Linked DNA regions of Macaca mulatta. The protein of the gene in region 1 interacts with the protein of each later gene in a pairwise test. Links are inferred from orthologs where the notes say so. Each region holds a gene or a part of one and is shown on either strand. Other genes may lie near its edges.

Region 1 (4,189 bases):
GCTCACACCTGTAATCCCAGCACTTTGGGAGGCCGAGGTCGGAGGAGCACTTGAGCCCAGGAGTTCGAGACCAACCTGAGCAAGATGGTGAGGACCCTGTCTCTACCAAAAAAAAAAAAAAAAAAAAAATACTTATCAAGGAATCCAAAGACCTTACCTTCGAAAATTGTAAAAAACATAGGAATACACAAGCACATATTTTTTTCCTCACCAGAGCAATGACATCATCACATATTCTGTAAATGTATAATTATTTCAAAAAAAAGTTAAAGGAAATGAAGCATAGAGGATGGAGCAAGTAGGGATTACAACAACTTTCAACAGCAACCGAAGTCAGAAGACAGATAACATCAATGTGCTGAAAGAGGAAAACTTCTGAACCTCAAAATATATAAACAGTGAAATAAACCCTTCAAGAATTGTAAGATGGGCTGGTCCAAAGGTAGTGAGTTATCTCAGTTGATTGTTCACAGTCAGTTACAGATCAAACTCCTTATTTTACTCTCACTACTGCACTTGACTAGTCTGAAAAAAGGAATTATAAGATGAATTAAAGACACATTCAGATAAGCAAAACTGAGAAAGTTTAGTAAAAGCAAGTCTTTACTAAAGCAAATTATGAAGAATGTACCTCGGGCAGAAGGAAAGGTGTCAAGATCAAGTGTCGAGGAAGATCAGAGATTTAAGAAGGTATAAGAAGGTTAGAAAAGTGAGAAAAAAAAATGCTGTCAACTCTAGAAACTACAAGTATAAAGAAAAAAAGATAATTGGGAAATCTAAATAACCTACCTTAGGAAATTCTAAAAACCGCAAGAATATACGAGCTCACATTCCTTTGGTCATAAGAGCAGTGTCATCATTAGACATCAGGTCGCCTCTGGAAAATTCCATTGTGAGTTTAAAAGGCAAATGACGTCTATTATTCTAAAACTAGTTCTGCCACCGAAACTCTACAAAGAATCTTGGGATCTGCAGGGTCTCCCGGATCACACTTTGAGAACTGCCGCTTTAATCTTCCTCCCATCTCCTAAGTCCGGGGTTCCTGAGTTTGCTTCCCTGACTGGCCAAGGAGAAAAGAGAAAGGTCACTTGTCGGGGGGCCGCAGAGGGAATTCCCCTCTTTCATTTGCAAAGGTTACTGGGGGACACACCGGCTCCCAGTAGGGTTTCTGCCAAGGCTCCGCGAAGTGCCACTAGAGGGCGCCGCTAGCGAATCCCACAGCGCGCCCCGCATCCCCAACTTTTGTCCTCCGGGTTCACACGGGCGCCCGGAAGAGAGGGTGGTGCCTGGGAGAGGAAACTATGCGCCCCGGGGCCGCGGCCTCATTGGATGAGAGGTCCCCACCTCACGGCCCAAGGCGGGGCTTCTTTGCGCTTAAAAGCCAAGCCGGGCCAATGTTCAAGTGCGCAGCTCTTAGTCGCAAGTCGACTAAGGTTTATCAGTCACTCGCCGAGGTTCCCTGGGTCATGGTGCCAGCCTGACTGAGAAGAGGACGCTCCCGGGAGACGAATGAGGAACCACCTCCTCCTACTATTCAAGTACAGGGGCCTGGTCCGCAAAGGGAAGAAAAGCAAAAGACGAAAATGGCTAAATTCGTGATCCGCCCAGCCACTGCCGCCGACTGCAGTGACATACTGCGGCTGATCAAGGTAGCGGAGAGCCCGAGCTCCTCCCGTGGCGTAGGGTGGAGGTGGTTCCGTTTCCCGGGGTGGGGTGATTCGCGTCTCGAGGTCTGGGCCGGTGTGAGAGCCCAGCCGGTTCCCCTTTCTGCGCCCATCCCAGGCCCGGCCGCTACCCCGCCCCGCCCGCCCCATTCCCTTCCACTGAGCTGGCCGGCCGGAGCCTCATTTTGTTTTCTGCTTTTCTCTCTCCTATGTGCATCCCCCCAGGAGCTGGCTAAATATGAATACATGGAAGAACAAGTAATCTTAACTGAAAAAGGTAATTCAACAGTGGCGGGGCGGGGGACAAGCGTTCGGTGCCTGTCACCTTCGCCGAGGCCATTACCGTCCCTGTTCCCCCTTCTTGCAGATCTGCTAGAAGATGGTTTTGGAGAGCACCCCTTTTACCACTGCCTGGTTGCAGAAGTGCCCAAAGAGCACTGGACTCCGGAAGGTAACCCCTCTCCCTTTACAGAAGCCAGAGAGACCGAGTGTTATGTAAGAAGTAGTGTCGGCTGTGTAGAACCACTGACTACACAGGCCGAAGTTACTGAGAACTTGGACAGAAAAAATAGCCAGCAAGTGTTCAAACTACTGAGGAAAAAAAAAATTAGATACGCTGCACTTGAGAATACTAGGGCAGGTTAAAAGAGCTGTTTAAGTAAGTATCAGAGTGCTGTGGAGACTCTGAAGAGTTTAAGCTGCTTAAGTAAGTACAAGTGCTGTGGCGACCCCGAAGAGTTAGGTATAATGTCATTTGTTGTAATTCAGTTTCATAAAATGGTTCTTGTTTGACCCTAAAGTAACAGTTTTTGTAATTGTGTTAAATCACATTTTTTTCTTTAATTTGTCCCAATCTTCAGGTTACAGTCTCTAGCTTCGCCATGTACATGGCCCTTCCGTGTACATGGATGGGCGGGGAGGTAACTAAAAGATCCTTTACACAATAAAGTAGATGATCATGATAAATGAGGTAAGGTCCTATTATCACACACTTCAAACACGGTAGATCAGAAACCCACTATGATACTCGCTTCCTGTCTGTTTGCTAAGGAATATAAAATGGCTAGAAAGTTTAATTTGAAACCTTTGCCTCCATTTGGAATAGTAGACACCTGTTAAGAGGGTGTCAGATGCCCCTTTTTTTTTTTTTTTTTTTTTTTTTTTGGCTGATCCCTGTTGATTGGTCAGAAGACAGCTCAGCTAAAAGGGGAAGTTGTTTGGGTGATTGCTTTTTTTCTGACGTCTGTTCCTCAGGCTAGAAGAAATGAGCAGAAAACACGGAATGAGTACTTTTTAAAGTAATGTGCATGTTATGTAATACCTGTTTCTGGGCAGTGCTGCCTCTTCTGACTCAACAAATGGGGAGAGCAAATTGAAAATGTGTAAATTGGAAGGCAAGTTCTGAAATTAAACGTTGTACTTTGGCCTGATGTTCTGACCTTTAAGGAAGCAAGAGTTTGTAAACTTCCAAATATTTACTATTCTGAACTGCCGTGTAAACCTGACTTGTTCCCAAGTCAACATACCAGTATACCAGTAGGATGTGAATAATGTGTGTGTTGAGTTTAAAACCATAGCAGTTTTGCTCTGGCAAGTAATGAAAGTGTTCTCGCTTCCTGAGTGTGAGCTTCCAGCAGACTGCAGAGTGGCCAGTCCACAGTTGTAGCCTGACTTCAGTGAGTTCTGATGTGTGCTTTTTGCAAATACATGTTTTCAGAACAGTGAGATCATCCAGCAGTGGCCTGGACTGCACTCACATAACAATCATGAGACAGTCGTGGCTGTTTGTTTCTGTAATACATGCATGTATGTTTTTTTAAACCTATGATAGGCCTCTGATTCTGCAGCTGCAACTTTTATGAAATGTTTTCCTTCTCCACATCTCATGTGATACTCTTATTACAGGACACAGCATTGTTGGTTTTGCCATGTACTATTTTACCTATGACCCGTGGATTGGCAAGTTACTGTATCTTGAGGACTTCTTCGTGATGAGTGATTATAGAGGTACGATTGAGTTCGGAGCAGAGGGTCTGAAGAGAGTTCAGGGTTATATAAATCCTTACAATGACTTTTTAAATTGTACTTTTTCTTTTTAGGCTTTGGCATAGGATCAGAAATTCTGAAGAATCTAAGCCGGGTATGTCTTAGTTTTTGGTTTCCAAATTTGTAAGTTTACTGGATTATTTTAATGATGGAATAAAAATTGGGTCTTGCAAGCAGGTTGAAACGTCACTGAGTTTGTGTTTTACTCTCTCATGATAGGTTGCGATGAAGTGTCGCTGCAGCAGCATGCACTTCCTGGTAGCAGAATGGAATGAACCATCCATCAACTTCTACAAAAGAAGAGGTGCTTCTGATCTGTCCAGTGAAGAGGGTTGGAGACTGTTCAAGATCGACAAGCAGTACTTGCTAAAAATGGCAACAGAGGAGTGAGGAGTGCTGGTGTAGATGACAACCTCCATTCTATTTTAGAATAAATTCCCAACTTATCTTGCTTTCTATGCTGTTTGTAGTGAAATAAT
Region 2 (4,146 bases), on another chromosome or scaffold:
GAAGGGACATAGATGGTAACAACACTTCCTGGACTCATTACTGCTTACTCTACTACTTTGTGCATAATAAAAATAATTTTATTTTATTACTATTTTTGAGACAGAGTCTTGCTCTGTTGCCCAGGCTGGAGTGGGCAATCTGCAGTGGCGCAATCTCGGCTCACTGCAACCTCCGCCTCCTGGGTTCACGCCATTCTCCTGCCTCAGTCTCCTGAGTAGCTGGGACTACAGGCGCCCGCCACCAAGCCCAGATAATTTTTTTTTGTATTTTTTTAGTAGAGATAGGGTTTCACTGTGTTAGCCAGGATGGTCTCAATCTCCTGACCTCGTGATCCGCCCACCTCAGCCTCCCAAAGTGTTGGGATTACAGGTGTGAGCCACCGCGCCCTGCACTTTGTGCATAATTATTGAAATGTTCACATGACATTGTAATCTGAGGGTAGGGGCTATATTTCATCATCTTTGTAGTACTAGTGGCATGCCTGGTACAAAATAAACACAATTAAGTTGGTTGAACTTGGGCAGGGTGCAGTGGCTTACGCCTGCAATCCCAGCACTTTGGGAGGCCGAGGCGGGCGGATCATTTGAGGTCAAGAGTTTGAGACCAGCCTGGTCAACATGGTGAAACCCGGTCTCTACTAAAAATACAAAAAAATTTAGCCAGGCGTAGTGGTGCACACCTGTAGTCCCAGCTACTCTGGAGGCTGAGGCAGGAGAATCACTTGAGCCTGGGAGGTGGAGGTTGCAGTGGGCTGAGATCACCCCACTGCACTCTACCCTGGGTGACAGAGTGAGACTCTGTCTCAATAAATAAAATAAATAAATAAATAAATAAATAAATAAATGTTGCTTGAACTAATGTCAAGAATTTTGAAGAAAAGGAAGCAAACAAATACCACGCATGAGTTGAGGGGGTAAATGAACATTAACTGAATGCCTATTATGTGCCATAAACCATAAACTACCTCAAGGTGGGTATTACCCTTGTTTCACAGAAACTCAACAAAGTTAAGCCACTTGTTCAAGGTCATAAGTTAGTCAGTGGCCGGGCACGGTGGCTCAAGCCTGTAATCCCAGCACTTTGGGAGGCCGAGACGGGCGGATCACGAGGTCAGGAGATGGAGACCATCCTGGCTAACACAGTGAAACCCCGTCTCTACTAAAAATACAAAAACTTAGCCGGGCGAGGTGGCAGGCGCCTGTAGTCCCAGCTACTCGGGAGGCTGAGGCAGGAGAATGGCGTGAACCCAGGAGGCGGAGCTTGCAGTGAGCTGAGATCCGGCCACTGCACTCCAGCCTGGGTGACAGAGCGAGACTCCGTCTCAAAAAAAAAAAAAAAAAAAAAAAAAAATAAGTTAGTCAGTGACAGAAACCAGGTCTTCCTGACTCCAAAGTCCATAGTTTCTCTTTTTTTTTTTTTGAGATGGAGTATTGCTCTGTCACCCAGGCTGGATAGAGTGTAGTGGAGCAATCTCACTTACTGTAGCCTCCAACTCCTGGGTTCAAGCGATTCTCCTGCTTCAGCCTCCTGAGTAGCTGGCATTACAGGTGTGCACCACCACACCCAGCTAATTTTTTTTTTTTTTTTTTTTTGTATTTTTAGTAAAGACGGGGTTTCGCCATGTTGGCCAGGCTGGTCTTGAACTCCTGACCTCAAGTAATCTGCCTGCCCCTGGCCTGCAATTACAGACTGAGCCACTGCGCCCAGTCCAAAGTCCATGCTTTCTACAGGACTTTTCCTTTACTCCTACAAATCTCTGGCCCTAAATAGAAAAAAAGCCTTTTCAGTGTGGCGACCTAAGGGAGAAAAGACATGGTTGCAAATCTACCTTCCAAGGAAATGTGTCTTGGGGAAACATTAATGAAGCAAACTAAGGCCTAAGCACTTAAATGATAGCTTTACTCAGTGCCCCTGCCACAACAAATAAGGTACTTGAGGCGACGTCAGAGGAGTTGATTTGTCTCTTCAGGAGAGTCACACATCTGCCCTGACTCTTAAGACTTGTTTCTATTAAGTACCTAGCTAGACCAGGATGAAGTCACTTCTACCTTACCGGCTTATCTTCTCAAGAGCAGCTCCCTCTCTGACAAACTGGCCAGATGCTTAGCGTCTGGAAAGGTGAGTGAGGACTTCAAACGTAGGTAGGTGTTTTGAGGATTTATGAGGCGGGCAATGGTGGGTACTGGGAAAGGAAAACAAAGTGAAGGGCCGGAGATCTAGGTGGGCCCAACTCCGAGTGGCAAGCGAGGCTGTGGGCACTGAGAGGGCAGCGGCAGCTAGTGGTGGGTGACAGGGTCTCACCTTTCACTGCCAGGCGGATGTTCAAACAGAGTTTGGAGAAGATGCGACTCCTTTCGACGTCCTTCGGACCCTTGATGTGCCTGACTTTGGACCACTTGTTGTGCCCGGCGGGGACAGCCGCTGTGAGGTGCAGCGTCCTGCCCGGTGCGGCACCGCAGCCCCGGGGCTCGGAGTGGGAGGGCCGGGGGTCACGCGGAGAAGCTGCCCCGACCCCAGGGCCTCGTGCCAGCAAGCATCGGGCAGCGGCCCTGCTTAGGCTGGCAGCAGCCCAAGCCGCCATCGGTCCCGACCCTGGGGTTCAAGCTGCTAGCAGCAGCGGCCAGCGCCGGCCCGTCTCTTCCACCGCCGGAACAAGCAGATCCGGACTCCGCGGCTGCCTGTGCTGGTCACCTGAGACCCAAAGGCTTGGGCCCGCCCGGGGCGGCCCAACAGCTAATGACCCTGCACCGTCCCCGCGGCAGCCGGGACTGGGGGCCCTTGATGGCGTAGCACACTTCCTTTACCGGGTTCGCTCCAAAAACAAGTCCCCACTGCCCGCAAAGTCCGTTCCGCGGCTGCACAGTACTCGCTCCTCTCTCGCCCTTGAGCCGACCTAGTTAGTGCTCAAGCCCTCCCGGTTGCCTAGAGAGCGCCGGACTTTGTTTCTCATAATAGTCTAGTGGAGACACATCTGAGTTATGAAACTGACTTTGCTTCCAAATTTCTGCCTAAATCTGAGAAAGTCCAGAACGATAAATATTTTGTTGTTGCCTCATTTTACTGGCAAAGAAACCGCTGCTAGAAAAGTGAATTGCCCAAACGTTTAATCTCTCTGAACGTCCTCCCTATTTACAAATAAGGATCTAATATTTGCTTTATCAACATATGAAGGTTGAAAACACAAAATGAGCCCTTAGAGCTTTAAAGTAATAAAGTTTTATGTAAATAGCCACAGTGCACTTAAGCCCCTAAATGCAAGAGATGGTTTGGGACAGACTCAGATGAGTCACAGGCCTTTAGGAGAAGGAGAATGATCAGACAAGCCTTTTGGAGCTAAACTCCCCTTTCCATTTTCTCTCTGCTGTCTCGAAAGAGAAAACCGAATTCATTAGAAGACGGAGAGAAACAAAGCGGCAGCTGCTGAAAAGCTTTGTAGTGACTTCCGTGCTGGTGACATGAACTCCAAAGGGCATGACGTATTCGGTAGAGAAGCAGGACAGCCGGGCGCGGTGGTTCACGCCTGTAATCCCAGCACTTTGCGAGGCTGAGGCACGCGGATCACTAGGTCAGGAGTGCGACACCAGCCTGACCAACATGGTGAAACCCCGTCCCTACTAAAATACAAAAAAAAGTAGCCGGTCGTGGTGGCGCGTGCCTGTAATCCCAATTACTCAGGAGGCTGAGGCAGGAGAATCGCTTGAACCCGGGAGGAGGAGGTTGCAGTGAGCCGAGATCCCGCCACTACACTCCAGCCTGTGCGACAGAGCGAGACTCCATCTCAAAAAAAAAAAAAAAAAAAAAAAAAAAAAAAGAAGCAGGACAGTGTGAAGTTCAAGCTTGTGCCCTCTGCGTTTAGGCTGGGTGGCTTCAAACCCTGGTTGTTCCACTTTCTAGTGTATCCTTGGGCAAGTACCTTTACTTTCCTGTTTGTTTCCTTACCTCTAGAATGGCCTTGTGAGAACTAAATGGGATAACGGATGCAAAGCACAAAAGCATAGACTTTACATTTTTTATTATATAAGAACCTTCATGGGATGGTGGCTCACGCCTGTAATCCTAGCACTTTGGGAGGTCGAGACCAGCAGATCACTTGAGGTCAGGAGTTTGAGACCAGCCTGGTTAACATGGTGAAACCCCGTCTCTAC
Region 3 (4,219 bases), on another chromosome or scaffold:
TCTCTCACCACTCCACTTCAACATAGTATTGGAAGTTCTGGCCAGGGCAGTCAGGCAAGAGAAAGAAATAAAGGGTATTCAAATAGGAAGAGAGGAAGTTAAATTGTCTCTGTTTGCAGATGACATGATTGTATATTTAGAAAACACCATCATCTCAGTCCAAAATCTCCTTAAGCTGATAAGCAACTTCAGCAAAGTCTCAGGATACAAAATCAATGTGCAAAAGTCACAGGCATTCCTATACACCAATAATAGAGCACAAAATCATGAGTGAACTCCCATTCACAATTGCTACAAAGAGAGTAAAACACCCAGGAATACAACTTACAAGTGATGTGAAGGGCCTCTTCACAGAGAACTACAAACCACTACTCAAGGAAATAAGAGAGGACACAAACAAATGGAAAAATAGTCCATGCTCATGGATAGGAAGAATAAATATTGTGAAAATGGCCATGCTGCCCAAAGTAATTTATAGATTTAATGTTATCCCTATCAAGCTACCATTTACTTTCTTCACAGAATCAGAAAAAAATACTTTAAACTATTATGGAACCAAAAAAGAGCCCGCACAGCCAAGACAATGCTGGGCAAGAACAACAAAGCTGCAGGCATCATGCTACCTGACTTTGAACTATACTACAAGGCTACAGTAACCAAAACAGCATGGTACTGGTACCAAAAAAGATATGTAGACCAACAGAACAGACCAGAGGCCTCAGAAATAAAGCCACACATCTAAAGCCATCTGATCTTTGAAAAATCTGAAAAAACAAGCAAATGGGGAAAGGATTCCCTATTTAATAAATACTGTTGGGAAAATTGGCTAGCCATATGCAGAAAACTGAAACTGGATCTCTTCCTTACACTTTATACAAAAATTAACTCAAGATGGATTAAAGACTTAAATGTAATACCTAAAACCATAACAATCCTAGAAGAAAACCTAGGCAATACCATTCAGGACATAGGCATGGGCAAAGACTTCATGACTACAACACCAAAAGCAATGGCAACAAAAGCCAAAATTGACAAATGGGATCTAATCAAAATATAGAGCTTCTGCATAGCAAAAGAAACTATCATCAGAGTGCACAGGCAACCTACAGAATGGGAGAAAAATTTTGCAATTTATCCATCTGACAAAGGGCTAATATCCAGAATCAATGAAGAACTTAAACAAATTTACAAGAAAAAAACAACCTCATCAAAAAGTGGGTGAAGGACATGAACAGACATTTCTCAAAAGAAGACATTTATGCAGCCAACAAACATATGAAAAAAAAAAAAAGCTCATCATCTCTGGTCATTAGAGAAATACAAATCAAAACCACAGTGAGATACCATCTCATGCCAGTTAGAATAGTGATCATTAAAAAGTCAGGAAACAACACATGCTGGAGAAGATGTGGAGAAATAGGAACACGTTTACACTGTTAGTGGGACTGTAATTAGTTCAAACATTGTGGAACACAGTGTGGCGATTCCTCAAGGATCTAGAACCAGAAATACCATTTGATTCAGCAATCCCATACCTATATATACGGTATATACCTAGAGGATTATAAATCATTCTACTATAAAGACACATGCACATGTATGTTTATTGCGGCACTGTTCACAATAGCAAATACTTGGAACCAACCCAAATTCTCATCAATGATAGACTGGTTGAAGAAAATGTGCCACATATACACCATGGAATGCTAAGCAGCCATAAAAAAGGATGAGTTCATGTCCTTTGCAGGGATATGGATGAAGCTGGAAACCATCACTCTCAGCAAACTAACACAAGAACAGCAAACCAAACACTACATGTTCTCACTCATAAGTGGTAGTTGAACAATAAGAACACATGGACACAGGGAGGGGAACATCACACACTGGGGCCTGTTGGGGGCTGGGGGGCTAGGGGAGGGATAGCATTAAGAGATATACCTAATGTAGAGGATGGGTTGCTGGGCGCAGCAAACCACCATGGCATATGTATACCTATGTAACAAACCTGCACGTTCTGTACATGTTCCCCAGAACTTAAAGGAGGAGGAGGAGGAGGAAGAAGAAGAAGAGGAGGAGGAGGAGGAGGAGGAGGAGAAGGAGAAGGAGGAGAAGGAGAAGGAGGAGAAGAAGAAGGAGAAGAAAGAAGAAGAAGGAGAAGAAGGAAGAAGAAGGAGAAGAAAGAAGAAGAAGGAGGAGAAGAAAGAAGAAGGAGGAGAAGAAAGAAGAAGAAGGAGGAGAAGAAAGAAGAAGGAGGAGAAGAAAGAAGAAGAAGGAGGAGAAGAAAGAAGAAGAAGGAGGAGAAGAAAGAAGAAGAAGGAGGAGAAGAAGAAAGAAGAAGGAGAAGAAGACAAAAGAAGAAGAAGAGGAAGGGGAAGGGGGAGAAGGAGAAGGAGAAGGAGGAGGAGGAGGAGGAGAAGGAGAAGAAGGAGAAAAAGGAGAAGAAGGAGAAGGAGAAGGAGAAGAAGGAGAAGAAGGAGAAGAAGAAGAAGGAGAAGGAGAAGGAGAAGGAGAAGGAGAAGGAGGAGAAGGAGAAGGAGGAGAAGGCGGCAAGGGTATCCTGACCACTGTTGAGGATTAAAACAAACCCATTGTAAGGAACTGGCCAGTCATTCAACGTAACCAGAAAGTAAGCTTTCCATTATTTAAATATTTGAAAAATCAACATTCCAATTGTATATCATTTCAAAAGTACATAATCCAGTGCAAATAATAAAACAGAGTTGGAAGTAGGAAAAATACCTGAGCTATCATTTCTCTGAATTGTCATGAATGGTCGGTCTCTTTGATTCATTTTTTCCATATCTGTTAAGGAAACAAGAGAGAACTAAAATTTCATAATATTATTTTATAAATGTTTTTAAAGCTGTGTTACTTGAAGTATTTTTAAAAGTAAGACCCAGGACTGGGTGCCATAATGCTTTTTATTTTATTAAAATGTGCTTTTCTTGCCCCTAGAAGCCTCCCTCCATTAGTGTTTTTCTGTGCCTTTCTTGTTCTTGGTCCACTCTTTCCTATTTTTTCCCTCTTAATTCTCCCCTGCTGGATTGTTCCAGTGACTGATAAAAATTTTGTTATTAGAAAGTTGTTATGTGTTTTATTTTGTGTTCCTGGGAGGAAAGAAATTACCTAAATTGAAGAATAAATTATTCACTACTTCTATTACAACTATTATCCACTTTTGATAGATATAGAGATGCAGGGACACGGAGCAAAATGGCCGAATAGGAACAGCTCCAGCCTCCAGTTCCCAGCGCAAGCGACACAGAAGATGGGTGATTTCTGCATTTTCAACTGAGGTACCGGGTTCATCTCAATGGCGAGTGCCAGACAATCGGTGCTGGTCAGCTGCTGCAGCCCGACCAGCAAGAGCTGAAGGAGGGCGAGGCATTGCCTCACCTCGGAAGTGCAAGGGGGAAGGGAATCCCTTTTCCCAGCCAAGGGACAATGAGACATACAACACCTGGAAAATCGGGTAACTCCCACCCTAATACTGCGCTTTACCAAGGGTCTTAGCAAACGGCACACCAGGAGATTATATCCCACACCTGGCCCAGAGGGTCCCACATCCACGGAGCCTCCCTCATTGCTAGCACAGCAATCTGAGATCTAACTGCAAGGCAGCAGCGAGGCCGGGGGATGGGCACCGGCCATTGCTGAGGCTTAAGTAGGTAAACAAAGCCGCCAGGAAGCTCAAACTGGGTGGAGCCCACCGCAGCTCAAGGAGGCCTGCCTGACTCTGTAGACTCCACCTCTGGGGACAGGGCATAGCTAAACAAAAAGCAGCAGAAACCTCTGCAGATATAAATGACCCTGTCTGGCAGCTTTGAAGACAGTAGTGGATCTCCCGGCATGGAGGTTAAGATCTGAGAACGGACAGACTTCCTGCTCAAGTGGGTCCCTGACCCCTGAGTAGCCTAACTGGGAGACATCCCCCACTAGGTGCAGACTGACACCTCACACCTCACACGGCAGGGTACACCCCTGAGATGAAGCTTTCAGAGCAAGAATCAGAGAGCAACTCTTGCTGTTCAGCAATATTCTATCTTCTGCAGCCTCCACTGCTGATACCAGGCAAACAGGGTCTGGAGTGGACCTCAAGCAGTCTCCAACAGACCTACAGCTGAGGGTCCTGACTGTTAGAAGGAAAACTAACAGAAAGGACACCCACACCAAAACCCCATCAGTAAGTCACCATCTTCAAAGACCAAAGGCAGATAAA
Region 4 (4,055 bases), on another chromosome or scaffold:
CCCCCAAAGTCGTCACTTTGACCTCTCCTTGTGATAAATCCTATTCTCCTTTGCAATTACTTGTTTTCAATTTGGAAGGCTCAGGCTATCCCTGAGTACTAAGTAGGAGTAAAACAGAGAGCACAGCTCTGGTTTGTCCAGTTGAAATCCGTTTCCTTTTTCTCTTCTCCCAAAGCATGTATCCTGCTGCCGCTGCCTACTCCGCCTTCCTGCCTGCCCTCACTCCTCCTCCTCCTCCTCCTGGGGTTGTGTTTTCAGTTTCCTGACTCTTTAGAAATCATGAACTTTAGCTATCCCAAAGAACACTGAAGAACACAGGATGTGAAAGGAATCTCCGTGGACAAAGACCACAGAACCCAATGCCCTGTCACAGGAATGCTGCTGGGCAGATGGCCACTGCAAAATGCTACCTCTGATATTAACTCCGGCCTCTGCCCTAGTCCTGGGGGAAACGGAACCAGAAAAGCTGGAAACGGAAAAAATTAAGAAAATATATTGGTACAAATCCACTTCTAGAGCTGAGACCAAACTCTTCCTAGTTATTTATTCAAACCAATGGGAGAAAAAAAAAAACAAAAAAACCTTTTTCTCCTCCCTCCCCTTCGTCTGTGGCAACTCCATAAATATAAAAAAGATGAGAGACAAAAGAGAGACAACTGGCGAGCATTCCTGAGAAATGTTTATATGCTAACTTGGATTAAATATCCACAAAATCCAAGTTCAGCAAACTCTCTTCAGGCTTTAAAATTCCCAGCTCTACTCTCACACAGGCTGTTCTCAGAGCTTCAGGCCTGGAAAGCGTTGCTGAAAGGGCAGCAGAACTCCACCTGCCAGTCAGCCGTCACTACGAAACAGGTGAGTCCCACCTCACTTCCTCAGCTCCACAGGATCCAGACAAAGCACTCCTGGGCTCCTGAAAGCCTTTCTCCAGAAGCTAGGGGTACCGTCTTTAGGGAGTTGGCAGGTCAGTGTAGGTACCAGTTTTGCCACGGTACTACCTGCAGGAGGGCTCAGGACCTTCCCACTCCTAATTCCAGCATGCCCCCTTCCCCTTCCGGGAGAAGGTGGGCTGTGTTCCTTTGTACACTTGCCCCAGTTAAGGAGAAACACCAAACACATGTCTACTTTATTCCAAGAGCCATCAAAAGAGCTCTTGCGCTGGGCAGAACCGCAAGCCAGAAATTCCCCAGGAAGAGAGAGACTGAGAGACTCAACTCAGGCCTGCCAAGCTCAGGAGGCCTGGATGGAAACAGATTTTGTTTTTTTAAATTTCTTTAAACCATGAAGAGAGCTGAGGGCGGCCTGGGGAACAGTGTTAAAGGATCTAGGAGGTTCTGCAAAGGAGTGAATTCTGGGCGCACCAGATTCTTGGTCCCATTATCAGCTCAGGAGCCTTTCGGGACCTTTTTACTATCATTGCTAAATGGAACTTATTTCACCAGTTACAAGAGTCTGAAGGCCACGGAGCAAAGCTAGAAAGGCCAGGGTTCTGAGAGCTGGATACTTGTCCTCACTCAAATTTTCCTGGGCCCTGGGCCGGGCCAGGCAGGCGGAAAAGCACAACCAGCTAGGAGTGTTGGGCTTTGGCGCCTTCCCTACACCTACCTACCCATTCCAACTCCCGAATGGCGAGGACCTCTAAAGCCTGCAGCCAGGAAAACCTTACTCCCCCCTCCGTGGTAAGTGTGAGCGCCTGGGTTTTAATTTGGTCCTGTCTCAACTCCGTTGTCTCCCTGCTCAATCTGACACGTTCCGAGCCCTTTAATCTGGGAAGGCACCTGGCGATCCTGACGCACAGTCCCGTCGTTTGGCTCCCCGGAGGCGCCTTCCCTGCGGGCGCGAGTGCTACTCGCTCTGGGTCCAGACTCAGCCGGCTTCTCCCGGGAGAGGAAGCCCCGGCCTGGCGGAGAGTGGGAAGGAAAGCCCCGCGAGGCCCACTTCCCAAAACTTTGCCTCCAGGCCTCCAAGTGGAGCTGCAGCAGACACTCCGAAGTTCGCCCACGCGCCCCGCCAAACTCCAGCACCTCACACACTCTTACCTGGCTTGGCGAGCTGCGCCTGCAGAGCCCCGGGTTGCGGCTCGGCGGTCCAGCGCAGCGTGGCGGCCGCGGCCAACTCGGCAGCAGGGCGCGGCGGCTGCGGCTGAGACGGCTGAGAGGCCGGCGGCGGCTGCGGGGCGGCGGCGGCGTCCCCAGGGGGCGGGGGCCCTGGGAGAGCGCGCAGCGAGTCTGGGATGAGGCTCTCCAGGCTCTCGTTGGCCTGCTGCCGGCGCAGCGCCACCTGCGCAGCCATGACCCGCTGCCGCTCGATGATGAGGATGCACTTCTCGCAGGTGCAGTCCTTGAAGCGGCAGTAACGCTTGTGGCCCTTGAGCCAGGACAGTACGCCGTGGTTGCGGCAGCGCGCGCACTTGGGCGTGCGCTGCAGGGGCGCCCGCGGCGGCTGCGACACCGGGCCGCCCATGTACAGGTAGGGGGAGCCGTAGCCGTTCATGCCCCGGGCTCCCGGATGAGTTGGCGGGCTGGCGGCGGGAGCGGGCCAGGGACCGCTGGACGGCGGGGCTGCGAGGCCCGCTTAGGGGCGGCCTCCGGGAGGCGCGGCCCTTGATCCCGCTGCCCCGGTGGTCGTGTGTGCTCCGGGGCGACTGGAGGTGCAGCAGCCGTCTCTCCAGCTCCCTTCGCGCTCACAGCTCGGTCTCCCAGCTCACGCCCAGCCAACCCCGACGCGGGCCGCTGCCTTGGGCGCGCAGCCGGGTCGGCACGTCCTTCTTAGCGGAAGCGCTGCGGCGGCTGCAAAGAGCCGGCGAGAGCTCTGATTAAGGTCTGAGCCAGCTCTTCTGCAGCTTTCTCGCGCGCTGGCGGGACCCAACACCTCCTCCGCCGCCCTCCCCCAACCCCTCCTCCTTCCTACCGCCACCCCCACCCCTGAGGTCCCTGTCTCCTTGCACTCCCCGCCCCACGCCTTTCTCCTTCTTTGCGCCCCTCGGGTGCCTGCACTTCACCTTCCTTGCCACCTGCAGCCAGGCCACTCTCGCGGGGGCGCTCACGGCCCCCTCCTCCAAGCCCTCTCCGCTACCCGAGCCCGCAGCGGGAGACTGCGGCGCTCCAGAACGCGGCGGTGCTAGCGGGGCGGAGAAGGGGAGGACCTGCGGGAGTGAGGGCGGGGGTGCCTGTAAGCGAGTGAGGTGGCCGCTCCCGTTCTCTCTCTTCTCCTCCCTCCAGTCCAGATCTGGCCGCGTTTTTCCGAGTCCAAGGCCGCTTTTATCCCGACATTTGGCCGCAGAAGCTCAGCTCCGGGAGAACTCGAACCTACTGGAGTGTTGCGGGGGCACCCCGGACCTAGGTGGAGTTTAGGATAGGGGAGTGGAGTACTGTTGGTTTAGCAAAGTTAGGTTCTTTTCGTAATTTCCTTTTAGAACGTATTTTTTTCTCTTTTGTTGCTTTAGAAGAAAATGGTTTTGGAGATCTGCAGGCCCAAGGATGACAACCCATTTTGCAGGCGAATTTTCCTTTTCTACCCTCCTATGTTTTAATATAAAAAAAAAGTCAGGGACGTACGTGTTCCCGTAAAGGATTTGTTAAGCGCCGGGTATAAACTTTGAAGAGGCAGACGCAGAAGCCACATTAGCGCCCGCAAAGTTACCGATATCCTTTCCTGTCTCCCAGCAGCCACTGAAAGCAAACGGAGGTCTTGCGCCAGCCACTCAATTCAAATCCCCACGGATTCTATGATTTAGTTATGGATATGGGATGGGGCCACTTTTTCACCTTCTTAACCCATAGACCCCAGTCATAGATGTCTTGAGGGAGAGGGTCCTTGCACAAGATGACAGCAGAAAACTTTGTTTAGATTATTTGCGTGTTACCATTCCCCCAGGAGTGGTGGGTTTGGCCTAGTGCAGGCTATCGCTATATATGCACGAGGAAGGCCCTCCCCGCTCGCACCTCCCCCCTGCCCATCGGCAAACAAACAAAAACCAAAAAAAAAAAACAGGTGGATACACTGCAGGGCAGCACAATAGCTCTATGCGAAGCGGGGCAGTTCCAGAGCCTTCG
Region 5 (4,037 bases), on another chromosome or scaffold:
TCTCTCACTGATGCATTCACATTCAAAACCATTCAGTCCTAAGTGGCTGTTTAATGTGTCTCATACTTCTGTTTATTAAGAGCTATTTAACAGAACGCCAATAAACATTTCTATTATATTATTTCCAAATATGAGTTGTAAGGGCAAAAAAGTATAGAATGCTTAAATTAAGATCGATGTGTGCCATTGGATAAAATTCTTTGAAATTCCTAAGAACACAAGCACGATAAGCAGACGCTCATCCACGGAGGCTGTTGGTGTTACTGACACTCCAAACTCATTCCAGAAAGTCCAAAAGGGTGTGTGTGGTTTCTGACCTTACGGACTCTTATTCTGTCAACTCAGGAACCACACTGTTTCCCAATTCCCACCAACACAAATATAAATACCAAAAAGATTAAATATTTAAATGGAAAAAACAAAAAAGCATTAAAAGAACAAGCTGAGCACAGTAGGGTATGCTGTCGTCCCAGCTGCTCAGGAGGCTGAGGCAGGAGGATCACCGTCAGGGAAGATCTATGTGAAGACACTAGAGAGATGGATGTGTAACAATGAGAAAAGTGGCTTTCAGCACGCAGAAATTAAAGAATTTAAAGAACAAACAAACAGAGAAAATACGTTAAAGACAATTGATAGCAAGCTTTCACGAACAAAAAGATTGTTTAAACTCCCTATAAAAAGGCAAAGGATAGGCCGGGTGCGGTTGCTCAAGCCTGTAATCCCAGCACTTTGGGAGGCCAAGACGGGCGGATCACGAGGTCAGGAGATCGAGACCATCCTGGCTAACTATAAATGGTCAACAAGTACATAGCTAGGTGCTGCATTTCACTAACAAAGAAGTGTAAAATAAAGTAACGTGATATCATTTTTGACAAATTATATTGACAAAAATTTAAAGACTTATGGGGCCAAGCACAGTGGCTCATGCCTGTAATGCCAACACTCTGAGAGGCCAAGGTGAGAGGACTGTTTGAGCCCAGGAGTTCAAGGTTGCAGTGACCTAGGATTGTGCCAATGCACTTCGGCCTGGGCAACAGGGCAAGATTCCATCTCAAAAAAAAAAAAAAAAAAACACTTTCAGTAACTGCTGTGAATCTAGCAAATTATTGAACCTTGACGGTGGTCTTGCGGACCCGTAAAGGTGGAATTGATGTGAGAAGGGCAGTCAACCAAGCATGGTGACTCATGCCTGTAGTTCCAGCACTTTGTGAGGCTGAGGTGAACAGACTGTTTGAGCGCAGGAGTTCTAGACCTGCCTGGGCAACAAGGTGAAACCTCGTCTCTACAAAAAAAAAAAAAAAATTGGCCGGGCACGGTGGCTCAAGCCTGTAATCCCAGCACTTTGGGAGGCCGAGACGGGCGGATCACGAGGTCAGGAGATCGAGACCATCCTGGCTAACACGGTGAAACCCCGTCTCTACTAAAAAAATACAAAAAACTAGCCGGGCGAGGTGGCGGGCGCCTGTAGTCCCAGCTACTCGGGAGGCTGAGGCAGGAGAATGGCGTGAACCCGGGAGGCGGAGCTTGCAGTGAGCTGAGATCCGGTCACTGCACTCCAGCCCAGGCGACAGAGTGAGACTCCGTCTCAAAAAAAAAAAAAAAAAAAAAAATTAGCCTGGCATGGTGACACCCACCCGTAGTCTTAGATACCCAGGAGGCTGAGGTGGGAGGATCGCAGACTCCGCAGAGGCAGAGTTACAGACGGAGGCCAGGGCTTAGGAGAAAACGGCACAGGACCACATGTGCAAACCATGCAGTCAAACTGGTTACTTCCCCGTGCCAGAAACGTGCTGCTGGAGATGCAACGAAGAGTAAGACTAACCCACTGGGTTAGGCTGATGGGGATGCAGCGGAGAAGAGCAAGGTCCTGGGTTAGGCAGGGTTGTTGCGAGGATTAAAGGAGAATGCTCGCAGAGGCCTGGCAAGTCCTCAACTCCGGAACTGAAAGAACCCCACTCTTGCCCCTACACCAAGGCCCCATCCCCACGGTGGCCCCAGGCCCCATTTAACCCCGCCCATGCCATCGCCTCGCCCTCATGTCCTTAGCCACGCCCTGTAGCGTCATGGCCCCACGACAGCCACGTGGCTGCAGGCCCGTTTAACCCCGCCCACATCGTGGCCCGGCCCCGCTGACGTTGGTCACGCCCTTGGCATTAAGGCCCCGCCCTCCCCACAGCCCGGACCCCGCTTAACCCCGCCCATTCGGTCGCCCCGCCCCGACGACATGGCCCCGCCCCATCTCTTTGCCCCGCCCCTGAGGGCGGGATGATCCCGCCCACCTCGCCGGGGTTAGAACACAATTTAACGCCGCGGCCCGCCGTCCTGACCTCACGCCACCGCCCACCCGCGTCGTCCCGGCCCCGACGCACGGCCCCGCCCTCCCCACTGCAGCCGGGACCCACGTCACCAGACCTACCCCTGGCATGACGACCCCCCGCTCCCCGACCCGACTGGACGCTCGTCCCGCCCCGCGACGTCACGGGCCACCCCGCCCCCACCCGGGTCGCCGCGCTCCTCACCAGCTCGAAGCGGTTGTTGACTCGGACGCCCTCCTTCCCTGCGCCCCCGGGGCGCCGGACACCCAGCTCCCGCTTGGGCCCTTCTTCTTCCGCGTCATCGTCATCACGGAGGTCGAACTGCAGGGCGCTGGGCCCGATGGGCTCCTGGCCGCGCTGTTCCCCCCTCAGCCTCCGGAGGGCCCGGCGCGACATAGGACCGAACGACCAGGACGTCTGGAGAGAGGGAGAAGGAAGCGCAGAAAACTCGGCGGTCTGCGCGCCTGCGCGCTCCTGGCGCGGGTGGGGGGCGGGGAAGCTGGCTGTGGCGCCTGCGCACTCCTGGAGCGGGCTGGGGGCGGGGCCTGACGTGCGGCGCCTGCGCGTTGCGACTCACCGGAACTTCGCCGCCTCAGCCGCGGCGACTGGGCGGGCGCCGGTGGGTCCGGGCCAGGTCTCGGGAAAGCCGGTTTCCTGCGCGCCGTGGGCCTCTGGCTTGGCGAGGTGCCTCGCGGGGATGACGGGCTTTGATGCGGGGTAAGAGGCGCGCAGCCGGCGACAGTCGGCCCTGCCCGGCCTTGCCCATCCGTGTGGTCCGGAACCCGCAGCCGCGTTCGGCCCGCCAGGGGCTGTCCCCGCTCCGGGCCTGGAGCATTTCAGCTGCGTCCCGGACGCTGCTAGTTGGTCTTTTCGTGTCACGGTGTCATTCGAGTGATCTAGCCGTCGATGCCCACCTCTGCCCTGGCCTGAAGTCGCCGCCCCTCGGGCACCAGTGAGGGACGCGGCCCTCGCTGCCCGCCTGAGGCCTCGTTAGCGACAGTGGTTCTGAGCAGTTCCAGGACAAGCCACCCGCGTTTGTCACGATCTGAGGGCCGGGCGCGGTGCTCGCGCTTGTAATCCCAGCACTATGGGAGGCCGAGGTGGGCGGATCACCTGAGGTCAGGAGTTCGAGACCAGCGCGGGCAACATGGTGAAACAGTCTCTACTAAAAATACAAAAATTAGCCGGGTGTGGCCGGGCACGCCTGTCATCCCAGCTACTCGGGAGGCTGAGGCTGCAGTGAGCCGAGATCGTGACACTGCACTCCAGTCTGGGCCACAGAGCCAGACCCTGTCTCAGAAAAAAGAAAAACAAAAATAAAGTAGATGAGGCTGAGATAGGGCTCGGTTCAGTGGGCGGATGGCACAGCTTCCTGTGCCGGGGGTTGGGGACACGGGGACAGGAGGGCACAGAGAAGACAGGTACCAGCAGCCTGCTGCTCAACTTACCGCGGCTTCATGAACCCAGGAAGCAGCCCTGGTGGGCCGGCCTGGCCCCTCCCAGGATGGGTTAGGGTGTTAGGGTTTTATTTTATTTTCTGAGATGGCGTCTTGCTCTGTTTCCCAGGCTGGAGTGCAGTGGCACGATCTCGGCTCACTGCAACCTCCATCTCCCAGGCTCAAGCAATTCTCCTGCCTCAGCTTCCCGAGTAGCTGGGACTACAGGCATGCGTCACCATGCCCGGCTAATTTTTGTACTTTTAGTACAGATGGGGTTTCACCA

The links.
Region 2: the proteins of SAT1 (region 1) and TACO1 interact in binary tests that used the Homo sapiens proteins (3 or more experiments, as listed by UniProt). The two-hybrid records come from large-scale screens. The link is inferred for Macaca mulatta from reciprocal best matches to the Homo sapiens genes SAT1 and TACO1.
Region 3: the proteins of SAT1 (region 1) and CCDC148 interact in binary tests that used the Homo sapiens proteins (3 or more experiments, as listed by UniProt). The two-hybrid records come from large-scale screens. The link is inferred for Macaca mulatta from reciprocal best matches to the Homo sapiens genes SAT1 and CCDC148.
Region 4: the proteins of SAT1 (region 1) and DMRT3 interact in binary tests that used the Homo sapiens proteins (3 or more experiments, as listed by UniProt). The two-hybrid records come from large-scale screens. The link is inferred for Macaca mulatta from reciprocal best matches to the Homo sapiens genes SAT1 and DMRT3.
Region 5: the proteins of SAT1 (region 1) and TCF25 interact in binary tests that used the Homo sapiens proteins (3 or more experiments, as listed by UniProt). The two-hybrid records come from large-scale screens. The link is inferred for Macaca mulatta from reciprocal best matches to the Homo sapiens genes SAT1 and TCF25.

The regions. Positions count from the first base shown.
Region 1 is NC_133426.1:23,569,966-23,574,154, forward strand, and holds the start of SAT1 (diamine acetyltransferase 1), read left to right. Parts: upstream 1-1,389; 5' UTR 1,390-1,583; coding exon 1,584-1,649; intron 1,650-1,889; coding exon 1,890-1,941; intron 1,942-2,031; coding exon 2,032-2,115; intron 2,116-3,569; coding exon 3,570-3,671; intron 3,672-3,763; coding exon 3,764-3,804; intron 3,805-3,929; coding exon 3,930-4,100; 3' UTR 4,101-4,189. UniProt on the Homo sapiens protein: Enzyme which catalyzes the acetylation of polyamines. Substrate specificity: norspermidine = spermidine >> spermine > N(1)-acetylspermine. This highly regulated enzyme allows a fine attenuation of the intracellular concentration of polyamines.
Region 2 is NC_133421.1:73,392,369-73,396,514, reverse strand, and holds the start of TACO1 (translational activator of cytochrome c oxidase 1), read right to left. Parts: upstream 2,801-4,146; 5' UTR 2,583-2,800; coding exon 2,303-2,582; intron 1-2,302. UniProt on the Homo sapiens protein: Acts as a translational activator of mitochondrially-encoded cytochrome c oxidase 1.
Region 3 is NC_133417.1:63,218,406-63,222,624, forward strand, and holds the start of CCDC148 (coiled-coil domain-containing protein 148), read right to left. Parts: upstream 2,801-4,219; coding exon 2,740-2,800; intron 1-2,739.
Region 4 is NC_133420.1:98,463,785-98,467,839, forward strand, and holds the start of DMRT3 (doublesex- and mab-3-related transcription factor 3), read right to left. Parts: upstream 2,801-4,055; 5' UTR 2,494-2,800; coding exon 2,040-2,493; intron 1-2,039. UniProt on the Homo sapiens protein: Probable transcription factor that plays a role in configuring the spinal circuits controlling stride in vertebrates.
Region 5 is NC_133425.1:85,322,222-85,326,258, reverse strand, and holds the start of TCF25 (ribosome quality control complex subunit TCF25), read right to left. Parts: upstream 2,801-4,037; 5' UTR 2,712-2,800; coding exon 2,520-2,711; intron 1-2,519. UniProt on the Homo sapiens protein: Component of the ribosome quality control complex (RQC), a ribosome-associated complex that mediates ubiquitination and extraction of incompletely synthesized nascent chains for proteasomal degradation.